Struthio camelus: one gene and its partners. The protein of the gene in region 1 purifies or fractionates together with the protein of each later gene. This does not show direct contact. Links are inferred from orthologs where the notes say so. Each region holds a gene or a part of one and is shown in the gene's direction. Other genes may lie near its edges.

The links.
Region 2: the proteins of BACC1 (region 1) and HMGXB4 purify together in Homo sapiens (affinity purification with mass spectrometry; 4 studies listed by BioGRID and IntAct, with this or other methods). This does not show direct contact. The link is inferred for Struthio camelus from reciprocal best matches to the Homo sapiens genes BACC1 and HMGXB4.
Region 3: the proteins of BACC1 (region 1) and BPTF purify together in Homo sapiens (affinity purification with mass spectrometry; 5 studies listed by BioGRID and IntAct, with this or other methods). This does not show direct contact. The link is inferred for Struthio camelus from reciprocal best matches to the Homo sapiens genes BACC1 and BPTF.
Region 4: the proteins of BACC1 (region 1) and SMARCA1 purify together in Homo sapiens (affinity purification with mass spectrometry; 4 studies listed by BioGRID and IntAct, with this or other methods). This does not show direct contact. The link is inferred for Struthio camelus from reciprocal best matches to the Homo sapiens genes BACC1 and SMARCA1.

What each region holds. Positions count from the first base shown.
Region 1 is NC_090978.1:338,588-346,110, forward strand, and holds the start of BACC1 (chromatin complexes subunit BAP18), read left to right. Parts: upstream 1-4,523; 5' UTR 4,524-4,705; coding exon 4,706-4,726; intron 4,727-6,403; coding exon 6,404-6,498; intron 6,499-7,523. Other genes in the region: RNASEK (ribonuclease kappa), read left to right, coding at 44-121, 2,447-2,526, 3,892-4,030. UniProt on the Homo sapiens protein: Component of chromatin complexes such as the MLL1/MLL and NURF complexes.
Region 2 is NC_090942.1:59,909,600-59,917,539, reverse strand, and holds the start of HMGXB4 (HMG domain-containing protein 4), read left to right. Parts: upstream 1-4,929; 5' UTR 4,930-5,176; intron 5,177-5,578; exon of another isoform or gene 5,579-7,570; 5' UTR 7,571-7,645; coding exon 7,646-7,676; intron 7,677-7,940. UniProt on the Homo sapiens protein: Negatively regulates Wnt/beta-catenin signaling during development.
Region 3 is NC_090960.1:4,481,917-4,489,473, forward strand, and holds the start of BPTF (nucleosome-remodeling factor subunit BPTF), read left to right. Parts: upstream 1-4,544; 5' UTR 4,545-4,778; coding exon 4,779-5,418; intron 5,419-7,557. UniProt on the Homo sapiens protein: Regulatory subunit of the ATP-dependent NURF-1 and NURF-5 ISWI chromatin remodeling complexes, which form ordered nucleosome arrays on chromatin and facilitate access to DNA during DNA-templated processes such as DNA replication, transcription, and repair.
Region 4 is NC_090952.1:9,558,326-9,565,605, forward strand, and holds the start of SMARCA1 (probable global transcription activator SNF2L1), read left to right. Parts: upstream 1-4,264; 5' UTR 4,265-4,309; coding exon 4,310-4,414; intron 4,415-7,280.

The sequences.
Region 1 (7,523 bases):
GCCTCCCGGTTCCCCTCCTCTTCCTCCTCCTCCCGCCGCCGCCATGGTCTCCTTGCTCTGCTGCGGGCCCAAGTTGGCCGCCTGCGGCATCGTCCTCAGCGCCTGGGGCGTCATCATGCTGGTGAGGGGGCGCCGTGGGGCTTGGGGGGTGGGGGGGCAGGAGGTAGCGAGGTCTATGGGGCTTGAGGGGGGGGTGTTGTGGGGCCTTGGAGGGGATTTTAAGGGGCCGGGGGGGTTGTCTGTGGGGCTGAGGGGGGTCTGTGGGGCGTTGTGTGGGGCTGGAGGGCTTTCAGGGGTTGGGGGGGGCTATGGGGCAGTGCATGGGGCTGTAGGGGGGATCTGTGGGGCTGTGGGGGGCCATGGGGCAGTGCCTGGGGCTGTAGAGGGATCCATGGGGCTGGGGGGAATCTGTGGGGCAGTGCATGGGGCTGTAGGGGGGGATCTGTGGGGCTGTGAGGGCCCATGGGGCTGTAGGGGGGATCCATGGGGCTATGGGGGGGCCATGGGGCAGTGCATGTGGCTGTAGAGGGGGTCTGTGGGGGGCCATGGGGCTGTAGGGGGGATCTGTGGGGCTGTGGGGGGCCATGGGGCAGTGCATGGGGCTGTAGGGGGGATCTATGGGGCTGTGGGGGGCCATGGGGCAGTGCATGGGGCTGTAGGGGGGATCTATGGGGCTGTGGGGGGCCATGGGGCAGTGCATGGGACTGTAGGGGGGATCTGTGGGGCTGTGGGGGGCCATGGGGCAGTGCCTGGGGCTGTAGAGGGATCTGTGGGGCTGTGGGGGGCCATGGGGCAGTGCATGGGGCTGTAGAGGGATCTGTGGGGCTGGGGGGGGCCATGGAGCAGTGCCTGGGGCTGTAGGGGGGATCTATGGGGCTGTGGGGGGCCATGGGGCAGTGCCTGGGGCTGTAGAGGGATCTGTGGGGCTGGGGGGGACACTGCATATGGCTGGGAGGGGATCCATGGGGCTGTAGAGGGATCTATAGGGTTGGGGGGGTTGGGGGGCAGTGCATGGGACTGGAGGGGGATCCGTGGGGCTGGGGGGGATCCATGGGGCTGGGGGGGGATCCATGGGGTGGTGCATGGGGCTGTGCGGGGCAGTGCATGGGACTGTGGGGGATCCATGGGGCAGTGTATGGGGCTGTATGGGGGATCTGTGGGGCTGGGGGGGAACTATGGGGCAGTGCATGGGACTGGAGGAGGATCTGTGAGGCTGGAGGGGGGGATCCATGGGGTGGTCCATGGGGCTGGGGGGGTATCTATGGGGCCCTGCATACAGCTGGGGGGGGGATCCATGGGGCTGGGAGGGGATCCATGGGGTCCTGCATACGGCTGGGGGGGGATCCATGGGGCTAGGGGGGATCCATGGGGTCCTGCATACGGCTGGGGGGGATCCATGGGGCTGGAGGGGGGATCCATGGGGCCCTGCATACAGCTGGGGGGGATCCATGGGGCTGGAGGGGGGATCCATGAGGCCCTGCATACGGCTGGGGGGGATCCATGGGGCTGGAGGGGGGATCCATGGGGCCCTGCATACGGCTGGGGGGGGATCCATGGGGCTGGAGGGGGGATCCATGGGGCCCTGCATACAGCTGGGGGGGGATCCATGGGGCTGGAGGGGGGATCCATGGGGCCCTGCATACGGCTGGGGGGGATCCATGGGGCTGGAGGGGGGATCCATGGGGCCCTGCATACGGCTGGGGGGGATCCATGGGGCTGGAGGGGGGATCCATGGGGCCCTGCATACGGCTGGGGGGGATCCATGGGGCTGGAGGGGGGATCCATGGGGCCCTGCATACGGCTGGGGGGGATCCATGGGGCTGGAGGGGGGATCCATGGGGCCCTGCATACGGCTGGGGGGGATCCATGGGGCTGGAGGGGGGATCCATGGGGCCCTGCATACAGCTGGGGGGGATCCATGGGGCTGGAGGGGGGATCCATGGGGCCCTGCATACGGCTGGGGGGGGATCCATGGGGCTAGGGGGGATCCATGGGGCCCTGCATACGGCTGGGGGGGGAATCTATGGGGCTGGGTGGTGGTGGGGGGGCAGGCTACACAGTTCAGGTGCCCTATGGGGCTGAGGCAGCATCTATGGGGCAGCAGCAGCGGAATGGGGGGAGGCTACAGCGCCCCGAAACGAGAGAAAACAGGCGCTCTCCGTCGTCGTTCCCCCCCCACAACCTGCTATGGGGCAGAAGCCCCCCCCCCCCCCACTTCCCCCTGCAGCACCCGCTTCCCCTCAGGCGCCTCTGCGTCACCCGTCCGTCCCCGTCACCCCGGGGTGGCTCCGGTTGACGCCGGTCAGCTCCGGCAGCCTGTTGCGTGTAAACAGGCGCTGAGCGGCTGACGAGGAGAACCCCGCGCGCCGCCGGACGTTTCCCGGGGTTACGCACGGCGCTGTACGTTTCTTCCCCCCCCCCCCAAAAAAAAACACCCCCCCCCCAGGTCCTCCTGGGCATCTTCTTCAACGTCCACTCGGCTGTGCTCATAGAGGACGTCCCCTTCACCGAGGAGGACTTCAAGGAGTGAGTGCCCCGGGGGTTGGGGGGGGGGGCACGGCTTTTTGGGGAGGGGATGGGGGAAAACGGGGGCTACAGCCCGCTGCTTATTATTTTTGGGGGAAGGCGGGGGGAGGAAATGGGGCTGGGGGTGGGCGCTTTGGTTGGGAGGGGGGAAGGCAGGATGGGGCTCAGTTTGGGGTGGGGGTGATGGAGGGGGGAAACAGCACGACTCACGTCTGAGCCCTGTTGTTTCGGGGACAGGCGGCAGGGACGGGGTCGAGCCCTATTGCTTCGCGGAACAGGCGGCGAGGACGGGGTCGAGCCCTGTATTTTTGGGGAACAGGCGGCAGGGACGGGGTCGAGCCCTATTGTTTCGCGGAACAGGCAGCAGGGACGGGGTCGAGCCCTGTTTTTTGGAGAACAGGCGGCAGGGACGGGGTCGAGCCCTATTGCTTCGCAGAACAGGCAGCAGGGACGGGGTCGAACCCTGTTTTTTGGGGAACAGGCGGCAGGGACGGGGTCGAACCCTGTTTTTTGGGGAACAGGCGGCAGGGACGGGGTCGAGCCCTATTGTTTCGCGGAACAGGCAGCAGGGACGGGGTCGAGCCCTGTTTTTTGGAGAACAGGCAGCAGGGACGGGGTCGAGCCCTATTGCTTCGCGGAACAGGCGGCGAGGACGGGGTCGAGCCCTGTATTTTTGGGGAACAGGCGGCGAGGACGGGGTCGAGCCCTATTGTTTCACAGAACAGGCAGCAGGGACAGGGTCGAACCCTGTATTTTTGGGGAACAGGCGGCAGGGACGGGGTCGAGCCCTATTGTTTCGCGGAACAGGCAGCAGGGACGGGGTCGAGCCCTGTTTTTTGGAGAACAGGCAGCAGGGACGGGGTCGAGCCCTATTGCTTCGCAGAACAGGCAGCAGGGACGGGGTCGAACCCTGTTTTTTGGGGAACAGGCGGCAGGGACGGGGTCGAACCCTGTTTTTTGGAGAACAGGCGGCAGGGACGGGGTCGAGCCCTATTGCTTCGCGGAACAGGCAGCAGGGATGGGGTCGAACCCTGTTTTTTGGGGAACAGGCGGCAGGGACGGGGTCGAGCCCTATTGTTTCGCAGAACAGGCGGCAGGGACGGGGTCGAGCCCTGTTTTTTGGGGAACAGGCAGCAGGGACGGGGTCGAGCCCTATTGCTTCGCGGAACAGGCGGCGAGGACGGGGTCGAGCCCTGTATTTTTGGGGAACAGGCGGCGAGGACGGGGTCGAGCCTTGTTTTTTTTTTTTTCCCGGGGGGTGGGAGAGGGTGAAAGGAAGGACGACGGGGGTCTTGCCCGGCTCACGGCGGGGCCGTCCCTGACGGCTGTCCCACCCCCTTCCCCGCGTCACCCCCTTCCCCGCAGCGGACCGGAGAAGATTTACCGCCTGTACGAACAGGTCAGCTACAACTGTTTCATCGCGGCCGGCCTCTACGTGCTGCTCGGCGGCTTCTCCTTCTGCCAGGTCCGGCTCAACAAGCGCAAGGAGTACATGGTCCGCTAGACCGCGGAAAGCGGGGGGGGGTCCGGCTGCCCCCACCCCTTATTTATTTACCCCCCCCCGGGGGGGGGGGCTGCGTCGGACCCCCTGGGACTTGCCGCACCCCCTCAGACCCCCCTTTTTCACCCCAAACCCCCCCGTCTTCCCCAAACCTCCCCCCCCCCCCATCGCAATGGTTTCCTTTGGATTTTGGGGAGGGGGCAAAGGCTTTGGGGGGGGGGTCTCCCCCCTGGAGCCGCCCTCCTCCCTCTTTATGGACCAATCTCTCTAATAAAGCGTGTAAAGGCCTCGGGATGGGGTTTTTTTGGGGTTTCTTTTTTTTGGGGGGGGGGGTTTGGGGGAGGGAAGCTGGTGGTGTAAAACCCCCCCCCCCGCCGCGGGAGGAGTGAAGACCATCGAGCGCAGCCCAGAGCGGTCGCTAGTCGCGGAAGAGGAAGTGGCCTCGCCTCCAACCATAGAGTGGAGGGGGCGGGGCTAGGGGGAGGGGGTTTTTAAACCATAGAGCGGTGCGGCCCGCGCGGGCCGCACCATAGAGGCGGCGGCGGGGGGGGGGGGTGGGGACAGAGCGTCGCCGCCGGTAACACCGGCGAGCCGGCCCGTACGGGCCGCGCCGCCACCATAGAGGAGCCGGGGCCAGAGCGGCGGCGGCGGCGGCTGGAGGGGCCGGGGGCGGGAGCCATGACGTCAGCGTCCACCAAGGTGGGGGAGATCCCGGTTCCGGTCCCGGTTTTTTGGGGGGGGGGGGGGGGTGTCCTGGTCCCGGCGGGGCCGACTGGGTCTTACTGGGGCGGTTGTGGTGCCGGTTCCGGTCCCGGCGGGGCCGACTGGGTCTTACTGGGGCACTTCTAGTCCCATGGGACGATTTAGGTCTTACTGGGGCGGTTCTGGTCCCAGTTGGGTGACATGGGTGTTACTGGGGTGGTTCTGGTCCCAGTTCTGGTCCCAGTTGGGTGACATGGGCGTTGCTGGGGCAGTTCTGGTCCCAGTTCTGGTCCCAGTTCTGGTCCCAGTTGGGTGACATGGTCGTTACTGGGGCGGTTGTGGTCCCAGTTCTGGTCCCAGTTGGGTGACATGGGTGTTGCTGGGGTGGTTCTGGTCCCAGTTCTGGTCCCAGTTGGGTGACATGGGCGTTACTGGGGCAGTTCTGGTCCCAGTTCTGGTCCCAGTTCTGGTCCCAGTTGGGTGACATGGTCGTTACTGGAGCGGTTGTGGTCCCAGTTCTGGTCCCAGTTGGGTGACATGGGTGTTGCTGGGGTGGTTCTGGTCCCAGTTCTGGTCCCAGTTGGGTGACATGGGCGTTGCTGGGGCAGTTCTGGTCCCAGTTGGGTGATATGGGTGTTACTGGGGTGGTTCTGCTCCTGGTTCTGGTCCCAATTGGGTGATATGAGTGTTACTGGGGTGGTTCTGCTCCCAGTTCTGGTCCCAGTTGGGTAATATGGGTGTTACTGGGGTGGTTCTGCTCCTGGTTCTGGTCCTAGTTGGGTGATATGGGTGTGAATGGGGTCATTCTGGTCCCAGTTGGGTGACATGGGTGTTATTGGGGTAGTTCTGGTCCCAGTTCTGGTCCTAGTTGGGTGATATGGGTGTTACTGGGGCGGTTCTGGTCCTAGTTGGGTGATATGGGTGTTACTGAGGCGGTTCTGGTCCCAGTTGGGTGATATGGGTGTTACTGGGGCAGTTCTGGTCCCAGTTCTGTTCCCAGTTGGGTGATATGGGTGTTGCTGGGGTGGTTCTGGTCCCAGGTGGGTGACATGGGTGTTATTGGGGTAGTTCTGGTCCCAGTTCTGTTCCCAGTTGGGTGATATGGGTGTTACTGGGGCGGTTCTGGTCCTAGTTGGGTGATATGGGTGTTACTGGGGCGGTTCTGGTCCTAGTTGGGTGATATGGGTGTTGCTGGGGTGGTTCTGGTCCCAGGTGGGTGACATGGGTGTTATTGGGGTAGTTCTGGTCCCAGTTCTGTTCCCAGTTGGGTGATATGGGTGTTACTGGGGCGGTTCTGGTCCTAGTTGGGTGATATGGGTGTTACTGGGGCAGTTCTGGTCCCAGGTGGGTGACATGGGTGTTACTGGGGTGGTTCTGCTCCTGGTTCTGGTCCTAGTTGGGTGATATGGGTGTTGCTGGGGTGGTTCTGCTCCCAGTTCTGTTCCCAGTTGGGTGTTATGGGTGTTATTGGGGTGGTTCTGCTCCCAGTTCTGGCCCATAGGGCCATATGGGTCTTATTGGGTTGGTTCTCATCCAGTTCTGGTCCTGCTTCTGGTCCGTGGGGCGCTTTGGGTTAGATTGGCGTGGTTCTGCTCCTGGGTCTGGTCACGCGGGGTGATCCTGGTGCCGGTTCTGGTGCCGGTTCTGGTCCCGCTACCCGCCGGCTCCCTACAGGTCGGCGAGATCTTCTCGGCCGCCGGCGCCGCCTTCACCAAGCTGGGCGAGCTGACGATGCAGCTGCACCCCGTGTCCGACTCCTCCCCGGCCGGGTGAGTGCGCCTGGGGGGGCCCTTGGGGGCCGGAGAGGGGTCACTATGGGGCCGGTGGGGGTCCCTAAGGGGTCGTGAGGGTCCTCATGGGGTCTGTGATGTCCCCATGGGGCCTGTGATATCTCTGGGGGGTTCATGGTGGCCTCAGTGGTGTCCCCAATGGGGTTACCAGGGTCCTATGGGGCCTGCAGGGTCCTCATGGAGTCATGGGTGGTCACTCTGAGGTCACAGGTGTTCCTATGGGGTCATGAGGGTCCTCATGGGGTCTGTGATGTCCCCGTGGGGGCTGTGATATCTCTGGGGGGTTCATGGGGGCCTCGATGGTGTCCCCAATGGGGCCGCCAGTGTCTCTATGGGGCCTGCAGGGTCCCCATGGAGTCATGGGAGTCACTGTGGGGGCGTGGAGGTCCCCCTAGGGGTCATGGGTGTCCCTATGGGGTCACAGGTGTCCTTATGGGGTTGTGGGAGTCTCCCTGGGGTTGTGAGGGTCCCTGTGGGGTCTATAGTGTCCCCCTTGGGGCCCCTATGGGGTCATGGAGGTCTCCAAGGGGGCCTCTGGCATCTCCATGGGGTTCCCTAGGGGGTCACCAGGGTCCCCATGGGACCATGCAGGTCCCCATATGGTTGTGGAGGTCCCCATGGGGTCACCAGGGTCCCTGTAGCAGGATTAGGGGCAGGAGGGGCCCTGGGGGGACACCGTGGGGCAAAAGGGGACCCCAGGGGAACACTGTGGGGCAGGAGGGGACCCCAGGGAGGACGCCGTGGGGCAGGAGGGAAGCCCAGAGGATGCTGTGGAGCAGGTCTAGGGGCAAGAGGCCACCTGAGGAGCACCGTGGGGCAAAGATAGGGACAGGAAGGGACCCGGGGGGACGCCGTGGGGCAGGAGGGGACCCAGGGGGATGCCCTGGGGCAGGAGAGGACCCCAGGGGGATGCCGTGGGGCAGGAGGGGACCCCAGAAGATGCCGTGGGGCAGGAGAGGACCCCAGAAGATGCCGTGGAGCAGGTCTAGGGGCAAGAGGCCACC
Region 2 (7,940 bases), on another chromosome or scaffold:
CCTGTTTAGCCTTGGAGTTGCAGCAACGCCAGGTAGCTAATGTGCAGGTGGCAGTATGTTTCTGTTGATGTGCCAGTATGGTCTCCCTCATCTGCAGACTCTGGCATCTCCGTTTAAGCCATTTTTGTTTAAAAGTCCCCATGTTTAAATCTGCAAAATAGCATTGTCCTGCCTTGCACTGTAAATTCCCTGATACCAGGTGTGTATAGGGCAGACGCATAGCATTCACAGCCTGCAGCCTGTTTCTCCTTTCTGTCTTGTCAGTGCCTGATGAGAATGAGCTCTGCACACACTCCCTTCTCTATTTCTGATGCTCCCTGCTGCCAGCGAGCAGCTGCAGCAGCTCCTCTACAAGCAGAAATGGAATGCCCACCTGCCTCAGACCCCTAGCTTGGCAACACAGAGCATGAAGTCTGAGAAGTGTTTCAAGAAATGCATTGGCTGGTGAAGAACTCTCCCGCTCAGGGGCTTGAGAGGAAGAGAGAAGTTTACCCACAGGCAATCATAGATCCTAGAGCAATCCCTCTAACCAAAGCGTGGAGAGCCCACCAGAGAGCCACAGCTCCACAATGTGGACACTCATAGGCAGGCCTGGCAAGGCCACATCAACTTTGCAATAAGTATACACCCACCTATGCTGCCAGGCTGACATTTTAGCTTCCAGGTTAGCGGTTTAACTCTAGCTTTTTGTGTGGTTGCTCCATTTCTTGTAAAACTCCAGATTATAATATTATCTGGTACTCAGTGCAGGACAAATGCTGAAGCAGTGGTTCTGTCACAAGCAGGAGTTGGGGAAAATTGTAGGAAAGAAGCCCAGACCTATGGGCTTTTTCATGTAACTCTTTCTCAAAAGAGAGGAGCAGGTCAGTACGGCCTGTACAGAGGAAGGCGGTGATGTAGAGAATTAAGGTGTGAGAGGAGGAAAGAAGTAAATCACCATATCCAGGCAAAAAGAAAAACAAGAATCCAGATAAGGCTGAATGCCTCAAGTTTCATGGCACTGGGGCTGCAAGGAGTTCTAGTCAGCAGAGGCCAGTCAGAACCCCAGGGAGCAGGCACCGAGAGCTGACCAGCAAAAAGCACTAACATAGGCTTTGTATGGCACCATGAAACTCAGATTAAACCACTCCTACCTTCCTGGCATGTGCTGAGGTATGAAGCTATTTAGGAGGAAATCAACCTCAGTGAAAAGAGGTAAATCTGACACTGATTCTCTGCCTTTAATCTTTCCTTCATACATACCGCCCAGGTATCCCTCCCTTTCCTTTGGCTAACCAAACGCAGGAGCTTTCCTCTTCCCCTCTGGACTCCACTAATCCTGCTGTATTGTTTTCCCACCAGATGGACAAGGACACTGTCCTCCCACCCAGCTTTACCTCTCTCCGCATGCGGATACAGAAGGTGCAGCACTAGGAACAGGGAGAGAATGCGTGTGTCCACTGTGACAGAAGCTGTGGCTCTGGGGAACGTTCAAACTGTTACACTCATGTTACAAATGAATGCACCTACGCTTGCGGCTTCATTAGTGACTCTATTCCCAAATGAAAAGGCAAGAAAATGAATGCTTCCTGCAGGAACTGAAGACAAATGGGAAGCAACTTAAGAAAATCCCCAATACGGAAACAGATAACAAATCTTTTGAAGTTTTGCTTCTCTGCGGAAGTGAGTCCTTATATTCAAACAGGACTCAGTAGCCTTGTTTATAAATAAGACTAGTGAAATTATAGGGCCGAGGTAACTGACTGGGTGATTGGGTGACTGGGTGACTGGGTGACTGAGCACTGGAACGTTTTGCCCAGAGAGGTTGTGGAGTCTCCTTCCCTGGAGATATTCAAAAGCCATCTGGACACAATGCTGGGCAACGTGCTCTAGGTTGAGCAGGGGGGTTGGACTAGATGATCTCCAGAGGTCCCTTCTAACCTCGGTCATCCTGTGATTCTGTGAATTGGTACCCAATATCTACTCTACCTGAAGTCCGCTGTAACGTTAAAGTCACTTCCTCCATATTCATTCCCATAAGCCTTTTAAAAATGTGTTTTTTTCTTTTAGAACCTACCAAAATGTAATATGCTATGCTGTCTTTTAAGGGCAGCTTGGTAGCTGATAACTTACAAGTGTTGTAGTGTACACAGAGAAGAGTAGCACTGTCTGTGCAAAACAAAGAAGGCTTTTGGTGGAGAGGCAGGGATCAGAGGATTTAATGTAGGTCCCATTCCAGTTAATGCCAAATTCTCTGTGAATGTAGGAAAAAAGTATGGAAAAGTGAGTCAGAAATGAAGAGAGATTTCCGAGTTGCAAACTGTGGCAGGGAGAACTGGTAATTGTTCTCAGAGCTCTGAGTTCTGTATTTAATTTTGTACCTAACTTGGCTGTGGGCTTGTGCTCATGGTTATTATCAATTATTTTTATACTCATTTCACTTGAGAACTCACCAGGCTAAGTACTAAACAAGTGTGAAAAAAAAAAGAGAGTTACTGAACCTAGAAATTTGCATCTTAAGTAGTGTAGATAGGAGAAAATATGCAGACAAGGACAGATAGGGATGTATATAGGAATAGCAAGACCATATTGGTCACCTTAATGGGCAGTAGCCCTTAGCACGCAATTAATCTTGCATCAAAGATAAGTATGTCCACCTCACAAAATGTTCTGCACGGGCAACAGCCTTTCATATAATGGGTTTGTCTTTGCCAATGAGACAAAGGAACTGAAGGAACATACTGCATATTCTTTTAGCAGCCTCTCTCTCTGGCATGTAGGGCCAAGAATGCAAGATGTTCTGAACAAAAGGAATAGGCAATATTCTCACAATAGCGTGAGATTAACTGATGCTGCACTTCAGGTCTTTGACACTATGGGGACTGCTTGCTTTTCCTGTTCCCTCAGGATGACCTTTCCAGTTCAACAGTACACAGAAACAGTTCTGTCAGGTGTTAGACATTTGGAGAGGTTGTGACTCTCTTAAATTTGCTATGTGTCCTGACATTTTCTCCACCTGACCTCTACAGTCCAGGTGTATATTCTAAAGGGATGCCTGGATTTTCTAGAAAAGGAAAAGGCTAAGTTGTTTGAAAGTAGCCAGTAAATGCCAGTGCTTTGTACTGGATCTCTTTATTAGCTCTAGGGAATAGGAATGACTGAAATGAGTTTTTCTGAGCCCTTCTGCACTGGTGAAAAGTGCAGAATGAGGGATTACATTATATTATTAGTAGTATGATTAGTGTTATTAGTATTATTAGTATTCTGTGGGAGGAGAGGAACATGGATGCATCTCAGCAGGAGAGATCTGAATGCTTCGTGCTTCAGTGGCTTTATGTACAAGTATCCTGCTATATGCTCATTTTCACAAATTCACCTGCAAATTCACTCTCTCCCCTCCACATGCAATCACTGACACAATCTAATACCTCTGAAACATCCAGTGCTAAAACCATTAAACTGCAGGGGAGCTGAAATTCTTTCTAGGATGCAGAATATTAAGCATACCATCCCCACATATTTACTAGCTACCATTATCAAACATTTGCAATCTTCAGACATGAGGCTAATGTAGGCTTTTGATTTTCATATCGATCGTATCTCTGTTCCTTCAGGCTGCACCTAGCCTCCCCCAGCCATGCTAAAACTTTATTTCCTCCCAACTGTTTCTACCTGACCTGTAGGCTGTCATGCTCACTTGCTCAAGGAAATTATTCGATGTTTCCATACAGTCTGTAGCACCAGCAAGGAAGCTCAAGACTGTAAAATTCTGTTGACAGAAGCCATGTTTTTCTTGTACTCAGTGCATTGTAGAACAGAGTAGGGACCTATCACTGGAATTTCTAAAAACATCATCAGTAATCTGTGACAAATAGCAGGTCTTGGGCAATGTGCTCAATTCTGGAAAGGTTCTGGATATATATTTGTGGAGAGATGCTTGTCCCATTAGTGAAGACCGTAACTCCTTCCTGTGTTATGGGTTGGAAAGTAAGGACAGATTTTATAGAGAGCATAAACAGCAGCGGGAATGAGTATATACATGCATGAGAACACCTGCACAGGCCTCGCACACGTCCTCATGGTTGGTGGGTTTTACTCTGAGGTGTTACAGCTGCTGCACCTGCAGACATTGATCTGTGCACAGCGGCTGGGGAAATTTATTAGAAGCTGTAACCCCTCACTTGGAATCAAACTATAGATGCACACAGTGCAACACAGCGAGGCCATTCTGGTTCCTGTAACTGTTCCACAGTTAACTCAAATCATCATCATCGTTACACACTTGTTAGGACAAAAAAAAAACACGACCAAGACCAGGAGGCAGATCTGTCAGTGCAGGGAAACCAGTGTATCTGTGATGGGTCAAGTCTCTTTAACCTTGGCCATGGCTGGGAACTGTAGGCTGTGGACAGCACGCGACTGAGAGCAGCAGCTTACAAAGAGGCATGTGAGCTCCCGCCGGCATCTGTATAAAAAGAGGACTTCTCCATCAGTAGAGATAATGGGATTTAAGGTAAGAGTTAAGTGAGGTTTGTTGAATAGGGACCTCCTGAGCTAAGGAACAGAGTGAAGAAAAGCTCACATGGGGGGGGGGGAGGGGAGACTTGTTTTTTTTGTTTTTTTTTTTCCAGCCAGTCCGTTCTTGAGCTTTTTTTTTTAACCTCGGTCTGGAATCCCCTTGCAGTAACGGACGAGCCCTCCAGAAGGCGCGGGGGGCAGCACTCCGCAGACCCCCGAGACCGCTCGCCTACCGAGCGCTGCCCGCGGCAGGAGCCAACGCCGTCGGCGCAGGCAGAGACCGGACGCGCAGCGTGCGCCGCCCGGCGCGGGAATGCGCCCGCCCTCCGGCGCCTGCGCCATCGGTACGCTCGGCGCGCCCTTACCCCGCCTCCCTCTCCCTCTCCCCCTTCCCCTGCTTGCTCGGCGCTCGGCTGGCTGCGCCTTGCCGCCGGCGCCGGGCGGGGTGTGTCTTTTCTCCCACTCCAAGATGGCGGCCGACGGTTACGGCGGCGAGGCGGGAAGCGGCGGCGAGCGGTGAGGCGGCGGCGCCGCCTTTGCGCTCCGGAGCTGCGCCCGCCGCTTGGCGCCAGCGGGCTGGCAGCTCCCGTCTCCGCTCGGCGCCACCGCCGCGGGGGCACAGGCTTGGCCTGCTCCAGGAGCAGAGCTGCGAGCTGGAGTGAGGCCGGAGCCCGCTCGGGTGAGAGGGCACGCGGGCGGGGCGGGCGAGCGGGGGCGGGGGGGAGCAGCGGCCGAGGCCGGTTCAAACGGAGGCGGCGGGAAAGGCGCGAGCCGCGGCCGTTGCGGGAATTGGGGCGGGGGGGGAGGGGAGGGCGTTGGTGCGCATGCGCAGCCGGGCTCCGCGCGGGGGGCTGGCGGCGAGGGGCGGGCGCGCGCGCCCGGGTCTGTGGCCGCCCCGCAGGCAGGGGTCGGCGGGCCGGGCCCACCGGCCGCGCTGTGGCTGCGGCCGCCCAGGCGGCCTGCTTGGAGGGACAGCTGTGCCGCCCGTCGCCGCTCTGCGCCGGGGCGCTACCTGCCTGCGGGCGCCGCGCTCGTGGAAAGACGGGCGCCAACGTCTGCCCCCTTACACGCGCCCCGAAAGTCCTAGCGTGGTTTCCGCGCTAGCACGGCTGGCGCTGAGAGAGCACGGAACGTCTGCGGCAAGTTGGGAGCCCTGCTGCTGGCCTCTCTGCTTCCACGTACCGTCATCTGTCACCAGCGAGTTGTGCAGCCCCGCTTGGAGGGATGAAACATGAGAGTGCTATTGGGTTCGCACAAGAGCGATGTGTGTTCCTGATCCAGCAAGCGCTTGTGTTAAGGACCTGGAGACTTGGAGAGACCTGCCTCGCTGAGCCTGTGTGATGTCTTCTGTAACCTAAGAATCTAAAGCACTGGAACCTAATCAGATTGTGTAGAAGACAAGTTAAAAATGTGCTTTATATTTGCAGGGTTAGAGATCTAGGTTGTAAGCCCCTTTGGGCAGGGTTGTCATGTAGCAACCTTTATACCTGCCAGACAACTTAGTGAAGTTTTTAAAAGTCAGTAAAAGGTATGCCTGTAGCTCTAAACGAATCTTAGTTTCTTAGTGTCATCCCCTCATGAATGACCATCTTCTATTTTTGCTAACCAGCATCTAGATTAAGCCTTAGTCCTTTTGAGCACAGTGCTTTACTGTCGTGTGTAAGTTGCAAGATCTGGTCCAAGACTGTAAGCCCATCAAGTGGCAAGATTTTTTTTTTAATTTATTATTTTTTACTGTGGAGCACAGTGCTGTTGTGCGTATACATAAATTCTGCTTACAAATTGCTATGCTCACTAGCAACAATTTATCAAGCAACAATTTATGGTGGTCAGAATGCTGATATAAAAATACTGTGGTTGGTGATTTCCCAGAATATTAGACAACAGAAGAATTAACTTGTATCCTTATTAATTTCTCCTATGTGTCTGTAAGCTTGAATTATTTGGGGCTCTGTTCTTTCATGTAAAAAACCACAACATGTTAAATACATTGTATGTTTTTTAGCATCAGCCAGTTATTTATAAAACTTGTGTATGTGCAGGGATACCCAAAGCGTAGGTAAGATAAGTTCCCTGTACTCAAGGTATTCAGATGTAACTAATATGGTGAGATAACTGTATCAGCTAGTCCAAACTAGCTGTGTGGTCTCTGTGATTTAACACTTGCAGATGTATGTGTGCACATGCGCACACACACACGCACACACACACACACAAACACACACTTTTAAGTGCAAACTGAGTTATCAGAAGGCTATTCTTTGAAAGTTAAGCTGGTCACTGACTGAAGAACTCTGAGAGAACTAGAGTGCAACTATTCTATAATGGCAGTATCCTTCTAGATACTAGCAACTGCTGAGTAGAATACCTCAATTAGAAGAGACCTGGAACTTAATGAGCTGGCAGGGGCTAAGGGTGCAGCAAAAGTCCTAGAAAAAAGGAATACTTTCCTCTGCTCCCTCTCCCAAGCTGACATTCAGAATGGCTGCAGTGGTAGTGTCTGGAAATGCATCAGAAATGCACCAGAAAGATGTACATCTTCACTCCAAAATCTTCAAATATTTATTCAAATATTTATTTCAAAAGATCAGAAATAATTCTTTTATGATGCAATGATTCCTGCCTGAGTTCTTCCTTTCCTTCACTACTTCTGAGATTCAAGGGTTTGGAATTTCTCTTTAAACATCACACTGTTTCCTACACTGGCTCCTGACAAAAAAGATCTTGACACAAGTTCTGTTTCAATTTTTTGTCATTTAAAAGTCAAACAGCCTTTTTTCTCACACTCTTTATACTTTTGTAAATAAGTTCATTCAATGATGTGAATATTTTACAAGGAGGAGGTTGTGTTGTTACCTCTTTTAAAATAAGAGAAAAACAGCTTCCATTGTGTTTAGTTAATTTAAGAAAAATTTCTATCCAGCCTGAAATATGAGCACGCAGAGACCAGGAGGTAGATTCCCTTCCTTTCCCACTGTCTTCCAGAGAATCTTCATTTGGTTCATAGGAAGTTTCCCATATTCCATTATGATTCTTCTTTCTGGGAGGGTTATTTTCGTTCTCTGTTTCTCAGACCTTTTCCTGTAGACGGGAACGGGGGAAGGAGCCCAGACGTGGCAACACATTCTCAGGCTCCTGCAGGACCGCCATGGCTTATGATGACTCCAGGAAGAAAGAAGGTATGACTGCTTCGTAATCTCAGAGAGAGTTGCCAGAAAAGGGTACCCTTAGCCGCCCTTTCCAGGCCACGGAGTCAGAGAGTGGGAGAGAAAGCTAATCTCTTGTGGAACATTGAAGGGTATTACCTTAAATTTAATCTAGTCAGGTTTTTGCGAGATCCCAAGCCCTTGACTTCCAGAAGTAAAGTATTGGGATTAGAACTTGAGAGAAACAACTGATGTTTCCTGATGTGAAAACCTTGCCGAGGTACTCTGCCACTGCAG
Region 3 (7,557 bases), on another chromosome or scaffold:
GATTTCCTATTTTTAATTGTTCTCACTTTGTCCAAAGAAGCCTTTGGCATCTACAGCCTTAACTTATACAGGGAAAGGAACTTAAGCATGGGTATAGGGTTGGTACCTAACTTGCACTGCTTTCTCTCTCTTAGACATTATAGTACCACAATTAGTTTACTGTACCATTTTTGTGCCCCCTCCCCTTTTTTTTTCTAGTCCAACCTCCATTTTGTGCCCCCTCCCCTTTTTTTTTTTTTTCTAATCCAACCTTGTTACATTGTTCTGAAGCAGAGATGTTGGGGGTGCAGGAGGTTTGTGCGGCAGCTAGCAGTTACGAGCCCTATACCGTGATAATCTAAAGCTGTTTTGGTGAATCTCATTCTGATAAGACCACCTGCATCCAGAAGTTGTCTACAGCTATAGAGAAGGAAGAGATACAGGGCAGGAACTAGATTCCTTCCTCAAATGAAGAAGCAAAGTACAGTTATTTAATATGATAGCTTGTTACAATCCTTATTATTATCTCAGAGGTTGCCTCCTGCTGAAGAAGGAAAAGACTGTTTTCTTAAGCAGACAGACCTCCCTTCAGGAGCATGCTCTCCTGCACAGACTTGCAGAATGCAGTTACTGGATTACAGTATAACTAGCTGTATTTTAAGACTTTTGCTTTAGAAACTTTGGAAGCTTTCTGACGCTGAAAGATTGCATCCAAGATAGTTTTGTCTTTTTAAATATGCATTGTTTGAAATGTTACCAGTGTTCAATTTGAAGCTCATGGGGAAGAGGAGAGAGAGGTATTAAAATAACCTTAAGGTAAAATTTAATGCAGTGGACTTTAATGCAGTGGACTTTGGATTCAGTTTGACATGTCTTTAAGCTGACCATACTATTCATAAAAGCAGTTACCATTCTTGCTTCCTGAGCAGTGCTGGCAGAAATATCTTGCCCATTAGGTTAGAACGGAGAGTGGCCTAGCTGAAAATAACTTTTTATCTATGATTTTTTTTTTTTCTATGGGAGTGCTGACTTGTGCTGACATAATAGGACACTGAGGAGACATCCAGTTTCATTGGGAGCAAAATGCTGGAAAGCATTGTTTGAATAAATGCACTCTTAACCTTTGTAAGGTTTAGGTTGCCTGAGAATGAACAATAGCATTTTCTTGGCATTTTCATCCCCTCTCTAGCAAGAGCTAGAACATAACACTGTTATGGTTGAAGCACTAGGTGCATAACTTACTGGACTTCAGCCGTATGATTTTGAAACAGATGCACACAGTTAAAGGCCTTAAGAGTGGAAATTAACACTTTCCTGTTGTATACACCACTCTTATCAAAGGTCAGGACTGAAATATATATATATTTAAAAACAAAAAAAACCTAAACTGAACAGCTGAAGAATCATTTGGAGTGGTACTTCTTGGCACTGGCAGCAGTAGGTTAAACTTTCTGAGCAAGATGACTTACCTCCTAACTAAAATAAGAATATTCTTACCTACAAGGGTGTCCATTTTTTAAAAAATACGTTTTCAAAGGGTGAATGCCTTAATTTCTATAAAGTTAGGCTGACCTGCTTCATACTGCTTGTTTTATACAGCTTGAGGTTTATGCATGTGGAGAACGTAAACATTCCAAATTATATGTTTGTTTTAGATTAGTCAAAAGTGAAATCCAAATCTCAAAATTTTATGAATGCAACATTTGTTGACACTATTACAGGTGTAAGTATCTACTGAATAAAGGGGCTATCGGGGGATAGGAGCTCCCAGTGAAGACAGTTTGTCAGTCTACATCCAAAATAGCAGATCAGATGTTAACAACTTAAACTTATTTTTGTAAATAATGTGATTGAATGTTAATATAATTCAGCATATCAGTGTATTGATACAGTTTATGTATTTTGTAATATTAAATAAAATTACAATCAGTATGTAGATTACATCAGCAAAAATCACATAAGCCCTTGCTTTCTAAGGCTGAGTTTTAGTCTATAGCTGAGCTCTATTCTAACAATACTTAGCAACCTCTCAGTGTCTTACCAATATACATGTTACGGACTCTAGAGCAGGGTACTTAAGTTCAGTGCCTAGTATGTGTTAGTTGTGACACATTTGGAGGGAAGGACTGGACAAAAGCAGCTCAGTAATGTAAGCAAGAGCATATGCTTGCTGGATTATTTATGCCATCCAACTGTAGGTTCGTAAGTTCTTTCCTTTACTAGTGGAGAAAGGAACCTATCCAGACAACAGCTTGGAACAACTAGGCTATTCATCTTTTCCAAAGTGCCTTTTGAAAGGAGTCTTTCTCTCCATCCATCTTGAGTATGGAGGGAGCCTAGGACCACCTACCTAAAATTTTTCCTCCTGCTGTATTCACTTAGAAATGTGCTCATTTAACTATACTAGCAAATTTAATATGTGAACTTCAAGTTCCTAATGGAGATGCGTTTTGTCTTTGGGAAAGGACGAGGATAGGTGAGTAGGTTGGGGGGTTGTATGATTTGTGTGTGTTGTTTTGTTGTGGGTTTTTTTTCCCCTCCTCCTCCGTGCTAAGCTATGCTCTAGAAAGGAGTAATTTTTCAGTCCTGAGTGAAAATTAACATATCTGTCAATGCATCCCCATTCCCCATCTATAAAATTATAATTCTGATGTTCTATTCAGTAAAGCACTTCCAGATTAATGACTAACAAGTCTTAAAAGGTGGGATTAGGAAACAATGTATTTTGGCCTTACGCTATTTAAAAGCAAACAAAGGATTCTTAGCACCTTTGATCTGCTACAGGTACACAAAACCTACCGTATGTCACAGATCTTAACGTTCTCCTAAGGCTACAGGCTGTGTGAATGTTTTCTGTAGTAGCTACACTAGATTTTTTTTGCTAGATTCTCAATACATAGATGGCACAATTCACACTTTTTTCCCCCCAAGATCATAGAGGGAGATAAACACACAGATGCATGCTTTAGGACTAGTTGTGTAAGTATGTATTTTAATAGTTACCACAATACTGTGGAACTTTGAGAGGTTAAAAAAATCAACTTGATGGAAGCAAACTAAAGGTAACTTTGAAAGATTCAGAATACAAATTGAGTATAATGGTGTAAGTTAAATTAAGCAATGTTGTCTACCGCTGTTACTGTGTCTGGATGGTACTGTGTCTAGAACATGGCTCTGAGCCTATGCAGCTGCACTATTGAATATAAAAGAGTGTGACCAAATGGAAAAGAGATGCAGATAAAAAGCTGGATGTAAGAGTGCAAATCAGGTTAAACCCTGCTGCCTGGTGCCATTGTGGCATTGTTGCGTGCTTGACACTGCATGCAGCAGGTTTGTGGGTTTAATGAGGTTCTTGGGCTGAGCAACAACTTTATGAACACAAGGCACTTCAGAAACATCTATGGAAGAATTCAAATTAAATTAAATATCGAACGTACAACTGGCATGCTCAGGGCGTGACCAGTGCTAGGTTGTGCATCGCGAAGGCATTTATTTGCTTAAACAGAAGACTAGATTCTCTGGGCTCCTTTGCCAATGCAGAGGGAGAAGGGCTGGTTGTGGGAAATGCAAGTGGTTTTCATGCCTTGGGCTGGGTTTCATCTTGTACCTCTTTTGCTTGGGAAAGCAATACCCTGAATTCAACGGCAGTATTAGAAACCCAGTTCTGCAATTGGTTTCTGTAGGGTGGCTTTTTTTCTTCTTCTTTTTTGGTTGCCCTTTGGGGGCTCTGGACTGGAAACACATGAGGGAATACAAAGCAGGTGCAGCCTATCTCGGTCTTGCAGTGCTGCAGCAGTGCTGGGGCAAGTGGCCGGACACCAACGCGAGGGGCCGTGTGTCCTGCGTGGTTTTCCTCAGCGTTTCGGCTTTTTGCCGCCCGTGGCCAGGCGAGGGTGAGTTGTAAAGAGGGTGTTGTTCGCTTCTGCCTAACGGGGGAGGTGGGGGGGGGGAGATCTGGCGGCTCTGCAGGATTAACAAAAAGGCAGAGCCGCAGCCAGGGGCCTCGGCCGGTGCCGGAGCGGCGGGACGAGCCCTGTTGCCTACCTGCCTTCGCAGCTGTCCCGCGAGGGAGTTGCGGCCAGCTGAGCTCGGGGCAGGGGGGAGGCCCCCCCCCAACCCGGCGGGTCGAGCTCGGCGGCGGGGCTCCTGTGACGGGCGTCGTTATTTAAGCGGGAAGATGGTCAGTTTTGGGGCGGGGGGAGGTGGTGAACCGCCGCCGGCGGGGCGCCCCCGTGCGCTGAGGGGAGCCCCGCGGCGGGGCCGAAGGCAGAGCCTGGGGACAGGTGGAAGGCGGGGGGGTTTAGGGAGCTTTATCCCGGGGGTGGGGGAAGGAGGCGGCGGGGCGATGAGGGGGGCTCGGCGCGGGCTGCGCAGCGGCGGGAGCCCCGAGCGCGCGCGCGCGCGCGGCCGGGGTGGGTGGCGGGGGAGCGCGGAGCCGCCTCAGCGCGCTGGCTCCAACATGGCTCTCGCGGCGGCGCGGCGGCGGCGCCCCCTGGCGGCGGCGGCTGGGCGCGGCCGGTCACGTGAGGCGCTCGGGGCCTGCTGCCGCCGCCGCTTCCCCCAGTCAGAGCGGAGCGAGCCGAGGCAGAGACGAAGAAACAAGATGGCGGCCGGTGGCGATCCGGAGCGGGACGCCGGCAATTCGGATTGAACCCTCGGCCCTCACAGCTCGGCGGCCCCCCTCCCCGGTCCGGATCCCTCGCAAGGGGGGGAGCTTCCCCGTAGCCGCCTGTCCGGACTCCGAGCGCCCTCCCGAGCCTTCCTTCCCCCTCCCTTCCCCCCTCGGCCAGCGCCCAGAGATGCGGGGCCGGCGAGGCAGGCCGCCCAAGCAGCAGCAGCCGGCGGCGGGCAGCACTCAGGCGAGCTCCCCGGCTCCGCCCGCCCCGGCGGGCCCCATTGGGGGGCTGCGGTCCCGGCAGCGGGGCAGCAGCCGCGGCAGGTGGGCGACCTCGGCCCAGGCGGAGACGGCGGGGCCCAAGCAGAAGGGGGCCGGGGCTGCCCAGGCCTCTTCCTCGGCCGCCACCTCCCCCAGGGGGGGCAGCAAGAGGAAGGGAGGCAGCGGCGGCAGCAGCACCCCTGGTGGGGGAGGCAGCAGCGGTAAGGGCAGGGGCAGGGCCGGGGCTGGAGGAGCAGGGGGAGGAGGCGGAGGAGGCAGCTGCAACAGCCAAGGCAGGGCTGCCTCGTCCAGGAGGAGCATCAGCAAAGTGGTGTACGACGATCATGAGAGCGAAGAGGAGGAGGAGAGCATGGTGTCCGAGGAGGAAGAGGAGGGAGACCCCGAGGATAACCAGGACTCCGAGGAGGAAGAGGAGGAGGAGATCATGGAGGAGGAGGACGACGACGACTCTGACTACCCTGAAGAGATGGAGGATGAAGACGATGCCAGTTATTGCACTGAGAGCAGCTTCAGGAGCCACAGCACCTACAGCAGCACCCCAGGTAGAGAGTCAGTGGGATGAGCGAAAAACGAGGCGAGGGCACCCCACATGCTCCCTCTAGGTTTGCAAATACGTACACGCATGGGAGGAAGAATGCATGCAGATCGTAAGGGATGCCTGCAAGCACTCACAGGGAGAGAGGGGTATGCAAATTAACGCCTGGCAACCCCATGGATGCAGGGAACCTTAGAAGGTGCTTGCAAACACACATGCAGTCAGGGGAGGGAGGAGGAGGGGTAATACATGCTGCAACGAGGGGATGCTTGGCGAATATGCATAGAGGTTCTGGTCGCCGCAGAAATGCGTGCTACACCAGAACGTGTTGCAAACAACGTCAAAAGTGTATAGAGCGTTCACTTAGGATTTAAAAACAAGGGAAAGGAGGTGCATGCGTTGCTAAGAAGTGGTTGCAAATATATACAGGAGAGGGTGGCTTGTGCCTGGGAATGTAACTTAATGTTATAAGGAAAAGAAGCACATGCAACTTGAAGTAGTCTAAAAAACCCATAAACACTGAAAATTTGCAGGCTCTTGAAATCAGAGGTACAACTGGAAGCAGCATTTATTGGCTTTAAGACAAAACTAGCTTTTCAAGGAGGGAAATGAGGTGCATTGTTCAAAATGGAGATTGCATTGTTATAGTTTGGGGAAAAGTGCACAGGGCCTCATTGCAAGGGTGTAAACCTAGTTTTAGTTAATAAGGCTTTCTTAAACACAAAGATTAAAGGGTGGAGGTTGAGTCAAAAGTCTTGGTTCTAAACACCGCATTTATTTTAAGATGTGGCAAGCTTTAAAACTCATATTGGGGTTTAAAGGTCTTTAACATCGTGATTAAATTTTTTTTTTAATTTTTTATTTTTTAACCTAATGGCAAATTTGGGCTAAATTTTTTTTTCAGGGCCTGCATTCTTTTTTGTCTTTAATTAGTTCATTAGGTATGTGGGTTTGAAGCCTCAACAATTCTTTATCTGAACTTAAGCACTTTAGGTTTATTTGAATTAATTCCAGAATGAATGGAGTTCAGGCATAGAATTTTTTAATTGTTTTCTTTTTATTTTCTTTTCTCTCTCTCTCTCTCTCTCTTTTTTTTTTTTTTTGGTCTCTGAGCCAGGACATTGGTTAAACTTGGGGATAACCTGGGAATGTGTTGCTGAATTGGGCTCCAGGATAACAAACACTGTTGCTGTACAAGTATTTGACCAGCTTGGAAGGGGGGAGGAACAGGTTGTGCAAATGCATTGCATCTTTTTTTTTTTTTTAAGGTGTGTAGTTTTGAGTAGCTAGCAGATCACTTTTAAAAAGGGGGAAGTACTGGCTACTAAATGTGTCATTTGTTGTTGTTTTAGTGAGTTTACTGGTATCAGTCCATTATTTGATACTCTAGTAGTCCTTTGAAAAACTGGGTGTGTGTAACTATACATATACATATGCAAATATTTAAATTTATATCCATATCCTTAGGAACCTAAGGGAATTGAAAGTAAGTATGTATGTCACTAAATGAATTAATTTTATTTGTTTGTTTCTGGAATAAGTGTTAGTGCTAGTTTACCTGTTGCAGGGATGTACTACAATGAAATTGAATTCCTTTGGATATTTATTACTTTACAGATGGAGGTCTAGCTTCACAGGAAAAATTCTGACCTTCTCTCTTAACTCTTAATTTTCTGTTTAGTTGTGGTAACTTTCATTCTGACTACCTCTTTTTGGTGCTTTTGTCAGGGAAAAAATATTTTTATCGCTTTAAGAGGCTAGGTCAGGAAAATATTTTGACGTGAAAATCCAGGCTGAAAAAGAGTTCTACAAAATACAGGTGTATTTGATTTTTGAAATGTGCTGGCAAATAATAATAAAGTATCTCTGTGTGCATTGTTGTGCAAGCGTAGACAAGTCTTAATTGGTATTTGAGTAGCAGAAATCATTTTGATAATTTATATGCTTATTTTCCACTTGATCAAGGTAACTTCAGTTTTAGCTTTTTAAAGTAAGTTTAAATGTAAGCATTTTAATCATAATATTCCATAGAGTGTATGGTATTCTGGCACTGAGTAACTGATTAATAGTTAAAGCACCTATGTTGTTTTGGCAATATACTGGAACTTCTGATTAGTTCAGTCTTGGCTCGAAGCCCTTTTTTTTT
Region 4 (7,280 bases), on another chromosome or scaffold:
GGGGTGTGGGTGGAGGCCCCAGGTAAGGCTGGTCAGGGCCTCCAAGGCCTATCAGTACCCTCAGAATCCTGGCAGATTAATTGTTAAGATTACAATGTATAAGATTACATCAGAGGAACACTTAGCTCTGTCATCACTCTTTCCAACTAAAGCAATTGTGAGACTGAACCAGCTAACAACTGAGATTTTGGGGGGAGGGGGAAGGGAAGGTATCTAATATAAGCAAAACTTAACTAAGCAAGAGCATAACACTGAAATTGAGGTAATGAATGGTTAGTGTGCTGTGGTTATTCACACTTGGGCTAGCCTATATAGATAAAGGTGGTAACCATGTGAGTTAACTCTGCAGTAAAGTCAGGAAACTGTTTTTAAAGAGCAGTTCCCGCATAGACTAGTTTTTCCCAAACTCCCCAGATAGTGCACTTATTTTTAATCCCAGATCCTACTTGTTTCCAGTCTATAAAGCTGTTTACTGCTTACAGCTCATGTGTTTTCACATGTATTTTGTGGTTTAAGTTCATAGCCAGCATATTTAAACTACAAATGACTAGGTGTGTATATATAGATTTTTGGACCATAGCATTTAATGGAGAGTCTCTTGAATGTGAAATCCTCTCCCCACCCCCTCAACATCTTTGTATTGCAGGGAACATACTGAATGTACAGAATGAAGTACTACAAATAATTAAACACAAGTAGGTATGAGACGCTTCATAAATATAATGTATATACAGTTTTTCCTATTCTCGATAAAATTATTTTTAAGAGTGAGCTGCTTTCATAGTAAATAATATATAGGCTGCCCAATTACCTTGAAGGCAGGATTTCTGAACCGAATATAGCATGATATTGCCATCTAGTGGCACTTGACAAAAATACTACCCTTTTCTTGTAAAATTCTCTTTTCACTCACAGGAGATTAAGTAAGAGAGGGCACAGATCACAACTGATATTAAGACATCTTTTATTAAGTAGTTATTAATAGATTCAAACTCTTATTACTAACAGATAGTTATTCACACAGTGCATTCACTTATTTCCTCACACGGTTCAATTACACGTACACACAATCACCACATATTTACGTGGTCTGAGCAAGAGTTAGGTGGCTGGCCCCAGATGTTTATTCAGAAGCAGAGGGTCACACTGACATGCCAGTGGCTTCTAGGTAGCTGCTGGGAAAGTCCTTTAAGGCATTCTTTCTTCCATCAGGTGTATTTATGATGCTGTAGGCTTGTGTAGTTGTAGTAGCCACAGCCACCACTTTCTTGGATGTGGTCTGAGTTATACGACCTGTTGATGCTTGTGTGTGCTGGTGGCCTTCTACAGATTTGGCAAACTGTTGGTGTACTGAGTGTATCACTTCTTGTGCATTCAACAGGTCTACTGTTCTCCGGAGTTTATCAGTTCTTGGGAGATTTTTTTCACACACAATCTCTCAGCACATACTTTACCTCTCTGATCAGCTTTGTGGTAACATTTCTCCATCCACACCCATAGGTACGTACCTATAGAATTCATTTACATGAACTCATACAGAACGGAATCTTATGACAATTTGGCCTATAATGCAATTTCACAGAATATCGAGACCTTTTAAAAAAAGTTACCCAAGCTTTAGTTTAGAGAAACTAAGTCCACCACAATTAACTACTTGTTTGGGAGAGGCTGAGTATCTACCGTCCAAGATCACAAAGGAAAGACTCTTTATAGTCTTATCTAGAGATAACTATGAAAATATCTTTGGATCCACACCTCACCAACTCTCTCCATATTCCAGCAGTTTTTGAAATGTAAAATGGTAACAGTTTAGGACACTATGAGCCTAAGTATATGCAATTTATTTTTCTGTGTCTAACAAGAAAATATAGTGCCTGTCACACAATATGTCAAGTGCCACCTTTGAGCTGGACAGAGAAGGCCTTGCTATGAAACTCAAGTGTTTAGGGGACTACTGGTAATTGTGCCTGGCAGATTGTAAATGAAGGGAGGAAAAAAAATGGGAAACCACAGAAGTAATAGCTAAGTCCACAACTTTAACATGACAGCTAGTGTCATCCCCCCCACCCCAACAAAAAACTTCAGAGAAATTCTGTGAAATTTACAAGTATTACAAAAGATGTAACTATAAAAAGGTGTAAAATATATGCAAAAAACATTATGCTTTTATATTTAATTAGATTTGTGGAATATGACTTGATAATACTAGTGTATATCTAAGTGATTTTTCATCTCATGGTCTGTGGACCTGCAGGAGCACACAACATAGTCGATGGGAGGTAACTAAGAACATCTAAGCAAAGTGCCAAATGCAAATGCTAAGCACACAAGTAACAAATCTTCAAAGGGCACCTTTCATGAAAGCTGCAGCTTGATTGTTTTGTACGGCATGTAACGTTCCCATGAATTTCAAGTAAAAATCAAGCTGTGACAAACACTTGAGAGTGCTTCGTATAGACAGAAGCTACAAGCAATTGAAACTGCTGTAGGAAAGTCAAGTATTAAAAACGGCTAGTGAGCTGTTTTCTGTAAAGATGCAAGAACAAATGCATCACAGAGCAGATTTTCCCCAACTCAGAGACTTTTGCAAAGGTAACGTTAAGCTTTATGATCTAGATGACCCTGCTTAGAAAAGGTATTTGGAGTACTCTTAGCAACAGTCGTGTCACTCCTCAGTTGTGCTAAGAAAAATGTACTTCCCAAAGGTTTTTAAAAATAAATTACCTGGAAGGTCTACTGAAGACCACTGTGGACCTTGCCTTGTTGCAAACTATGCAACAGACACTGAAGGCAGTAGTGTGCTTAATAATTTGTAATAGCACTGCTATTTTGCAGCTGTTTCACAAGAAGTTTCAGAGCTTCTTGTGGTCTATGCTAGACCATGATTTAGAAACTGAATTCCAGAACGATCAGGCAGTCATGGAAACATTTCAGAAATACAGGGTTAACTCTTCACAGAATGACATCTTTTATTGGACACTATGTATATATTGCAGAGAGGTCTTTGATGCACCTTTCTAAATGCAGTGTATGTGAACTGCATAACCCATTTGCTCAGTTTAGTTGCTGATTCATGCTGAAAGATCTTGATAACAGATACTGAACTTGTTACTGGAATGAAAAAACTTTTATTGCTTGTTCTGCCTACAGGGCTGGGGTTTGATCTATTTCTTTGGACAAGGTATTGCCTCTGCAAGTAATCATCAGGTAAAATGGATGATTTGGAGCTCTCTGTTTTTTAACTCCGCCATCTCAAGGATTGTTTTGGAATCCTTCAGGAGAATGAGCCAAGCTGGAGCTCTGCAGCTTAGAACCTGAACTCTTTGTACGGACAATCAGAAATACGCGCGCTGACAAAAAGCAAACTGAGTGGCTTCATAAGTGCAGCTTTCAACATGAAATATGTAATCACTGCTGAATTTAGAATGATTAAAAACAATGTTTCTAATGAATACCCCTTAAACTACTCTTGGCTTGGGAACACCTTTGGTATACCTTAGCTCTGCAGATGTTAAGGAATCATGTTCCCCCGAACAGAGCATGGGGCACCTAGGAAGACGTACTGGTGATATGCAGCACTGTTTAGAACCAAGGGATATGATTTGCAACTGCGACCGTTTCCTATCTCTTACCGTATTCTTCCACAGCCTGGCTCCTGCAGCGTTGCCTCTTTCCTCAGCTCCTACCGCTCCCCATGTCAGCACGGACGCTTCGCTCTCCCACAGCAGCCGGGACGACGGCCGTGCCAGGGCGCGGGGACATGCCTGGGCTGAGCTGCCACTGGCAGCAGGCTGCGTCCCGTCCCTCGGGGCCTGACAATTACAGATGCGGCAGCGCGGGGGCCTTAGCAGTGGCTGTAGTGGGCTACACACCGTCACGGCTACTGGCTCTGAGAGCACGGCGGTGCCTGGGAGAGCCGAAAGGCCTGCGGGCCGCGGCGGCCTCGCCGTGAGGCGGCGCTGCCGCAAGATGGCGGCGGCAGCCTCGCAGCGCCGCGGCACGAGGCACCAAGCGCCGCCCCGCCCGCCTCGCCTCGCCTCAGGCACGGCTCCAACCACCGCCCCCCACCCCACCCCGCGGCGTGTGCGCATGCGCGACGCCCCGTCCCCTGGCGGCGGCGGGAGAGGCGGGAGCGGCCGTGTCGTGGCACCGCCGCCGCGGCGTGGGGTCTCGCGATAGCTGCGGGCGCGGGAAGGCGGGCGGGGGGCGGAGGCCGGGCCGCGCGCTGTTTGGGGGCGGTGGGGTCGCTCCCCGCCCCCGCCCCGCCCCGCCACCGGCCCCGGCCCGGCCCGGCCCCGCCGCGCGCAGCATGGACGCCGGCCCCGGCAGCGCCGCCCGCTCGGATGGCGAAGTGCCGTCCACCTCCGCGGCGGCGGCGGCGGCGGCCTCTGCGCAGGAGCCGGCCGCCGAGGAGGTACCGCTCCGGGGAGGGGGCCCGGGCGGGCCGCAGAGCGCCCAGCGCCAGGGCCTGTGCCGCCCTCCCCGGCCGGCCGGCCGCCCTTGCCCTGCGCCCGGCGGGGGGCGGCGGGTCGGGGCTCTGCGGGGGCGGCGGGGAGGCCCCGGGCTCGGCCGCGGCGCGGGGCGGGCGGGCAGCGCGGCGGCGGCCTCGGCCCTGGCGCCTGGGGCTCTGCCGGCCGCGCGCAGCCCCGGTGCGGAGCGCAGCGCTCCCGAGAGGCTGCCCCGGCTGGCGGCCGCCGGCCTGCGGGGCTGGTCGGAGGAAAAGGTCCCACCGGGACGGCCGGGCTAAGGCCGCTAGCCGCAGCGGTGTTTTCAGGTATCCTTGGAAACCGAGCAAGATGTAAGCTGAGGAAGGAGCCCTGTGAGAACTCGTGCCCGGGTGCTGTGGCGTTGCAGAAGCTGGCAGAAATGATGATAGCGCCGTCAGAATTTTAACTCCAGCTGGGGAAAGTCTGTTTCTCCCTGGAAGTCCATTCTTCCCTGAGAAGAACGCCTGTTTCTTGCACTCTTGTGCGAGAAGGGCGGTTGGCTGTGAAATAGAGGGCAGTGTACTTGTGAACATCACCTGATGGTTCGGGAGAAAAAAGGATTATCTCTCTGTTGGATACAGCTTGTACTGTCAAATTGTATACATCTCAGCTGATACAAAATTGATAATAAATGTCTAATGAGTATCTGGCGAGATCCTTTGGGAGTAGTGAACAGGTTAGAATGTATCAACCATACTGTTCCCTACCTTTCTTAAGGAGGAGGAAAAAAAAAAGGAGGTTGCTGTTGTTTGAGGTTTTCATTCAGACTATGGAATTTCACTTCCATAACTCTACAGGTAGGAAGCTACATAATAATGGGATATAATGCAACCTGTTGCGCCCCTTTACCCCTTTCAAGGTTTTGCTTCGCTATACATAGTCTCTTGTTGCAGCAGCAGTCTAATAGAGTCCGAAGTTAATGATTGTTTGCAATGTGTTTCCACTTTGCATATGTGAGTTCAACACAAAAGGAGGTCCTTCTGATTAATGCATCTATTTAGAAAACTCAGCAGCACAGGGTACAGGAATAAAGTCGACCAAAGCAGCAGTTCTTATTCCCAGTCATTTATTTAGGCATTCATGTGGATAATCCAATTTAGGACAAACTATTGCACTGACTAGATAGAATTCTCTCTCACAGCCTGAGGTTAGTAGCTTTGTTTAGACTAGTTAATAGAGATTTTAAGGGAAAGTGTTTTGGGTCCCTGGAATGCCTCGGGCTCTGTTTTTGAAAGAATTGTGCAATGTTATTGATCATAAGATGTTTAAATGACACAATTTTTCAGTGGGCTATGTTATCTCAAGTTTAATCTTTAGTGGAAAATTTTTTTAGGGTAGAGGTGGGTAATAACCAGATGGTTCCTTGCACAAAATGAGTTAAAAGTGAAAGTACCCTTTTGCTGGTATATATATTTTTTTGCACTGAGGCTTCTGCTGATCAGATTTTCTGTTAAATCAGTCCTCTTACTATTGAAGATGCATTGTTTCTAGCGTATTGTTTCTGGGGTACGACTCCCATAAACTTATGAATTGTTTTGTGCTTCTGTGTTGTATTAGACATATGCTACAGTTAGTAGGAAAAGAGAAAAGCTTTCTTATTCATATCAAAACGTAATAATTGGCAAGCTCTAGTTTTTTATAAGGCAGGATATTACCCAGCAGCAAGTTCAGATGTGGTGGTCGTGCCTGCTACCCATCTAGCTCCACCAGCAATGTTTTGAGGAAAGAGTATGCTATGGTTTCACTATGTAAGTTGTCAGGAAGAGAAAGGATACTGGGATGCGTATGTCTTAAGTTGTTTGTGTGTTACTTCAGTTTTTGATAGTCTCCTCCTGTTCATTACTTCTGATATTGTGGGGCCATCAATGATCTGTAAATCAGATGAAGAAACACTGCAATGAGGAGTGAGGGTGAGCAGGGAACACCCTGCTTTTTCTTGAAGTGTTTTTCTTGAAGGTTACGGTGTAGAATGTGAATTTACCATGCTGTAGCTGTGGTAAATTTACATACCAGTTCACTTACTTGTTTAACTGGGAAAGCGTATTATTCACAAGTAATTATTTCTGAATAAGCTGGATGGGTATGGCCAGTGTGAAATTTCCTTCTGCTAGGGAAATCTGAGTAACAGGACAGACAGTCTGGTATTAGAGCCATCTGCCTTTGGACTTGTAATGCAATAGCTTTCCAAGGGGATTCTCATAATATTGAACCATTCTCCTCTGTCCAGGAGAAACTTCAGACTCATCTGAGGTAGACAGATGACTTAATTTTTTGAGACACATTCATTTACATTACATGTTCATTTAGGAGCATGTTAATTTATTTCCGGGGAGCTGAAAGAAACATCTGAAATGGGCTACTGTGAAGTATTTTGTCACTTTGGTAACAAGGAGATTGTTTCCAGTATTAGCATTGGTAGTCTTTCACACTGAAGTTTATGCTATGTTACATAGTAATCTAATGGAGGCATGGGTATACACATGTGTATGAACTGCTTTTTTGTATGTTGGCATAACAGCCCTCTTGTAACACTTCTTTCTGAATCAAGCTGTCAGAAGTTAAGTCATTTATCATAGAAAATTTCTGATGCTATCTACTTGCAACATAACCATTTGGCCTTGGAAGCTGAAGTCAGGCATTTATAAAATCATTAAATTGTCAAACAACTTTATTATACACTTAGTACTGTTCATCTTTGCAGAGATTTATGTCTTTGGGCCAAAACTTCGAAAGGTGTTCTCCAGCTTCAGATTATGTTCCTCTTATTTATGTCCTTCCACATAAAGGCTTCCT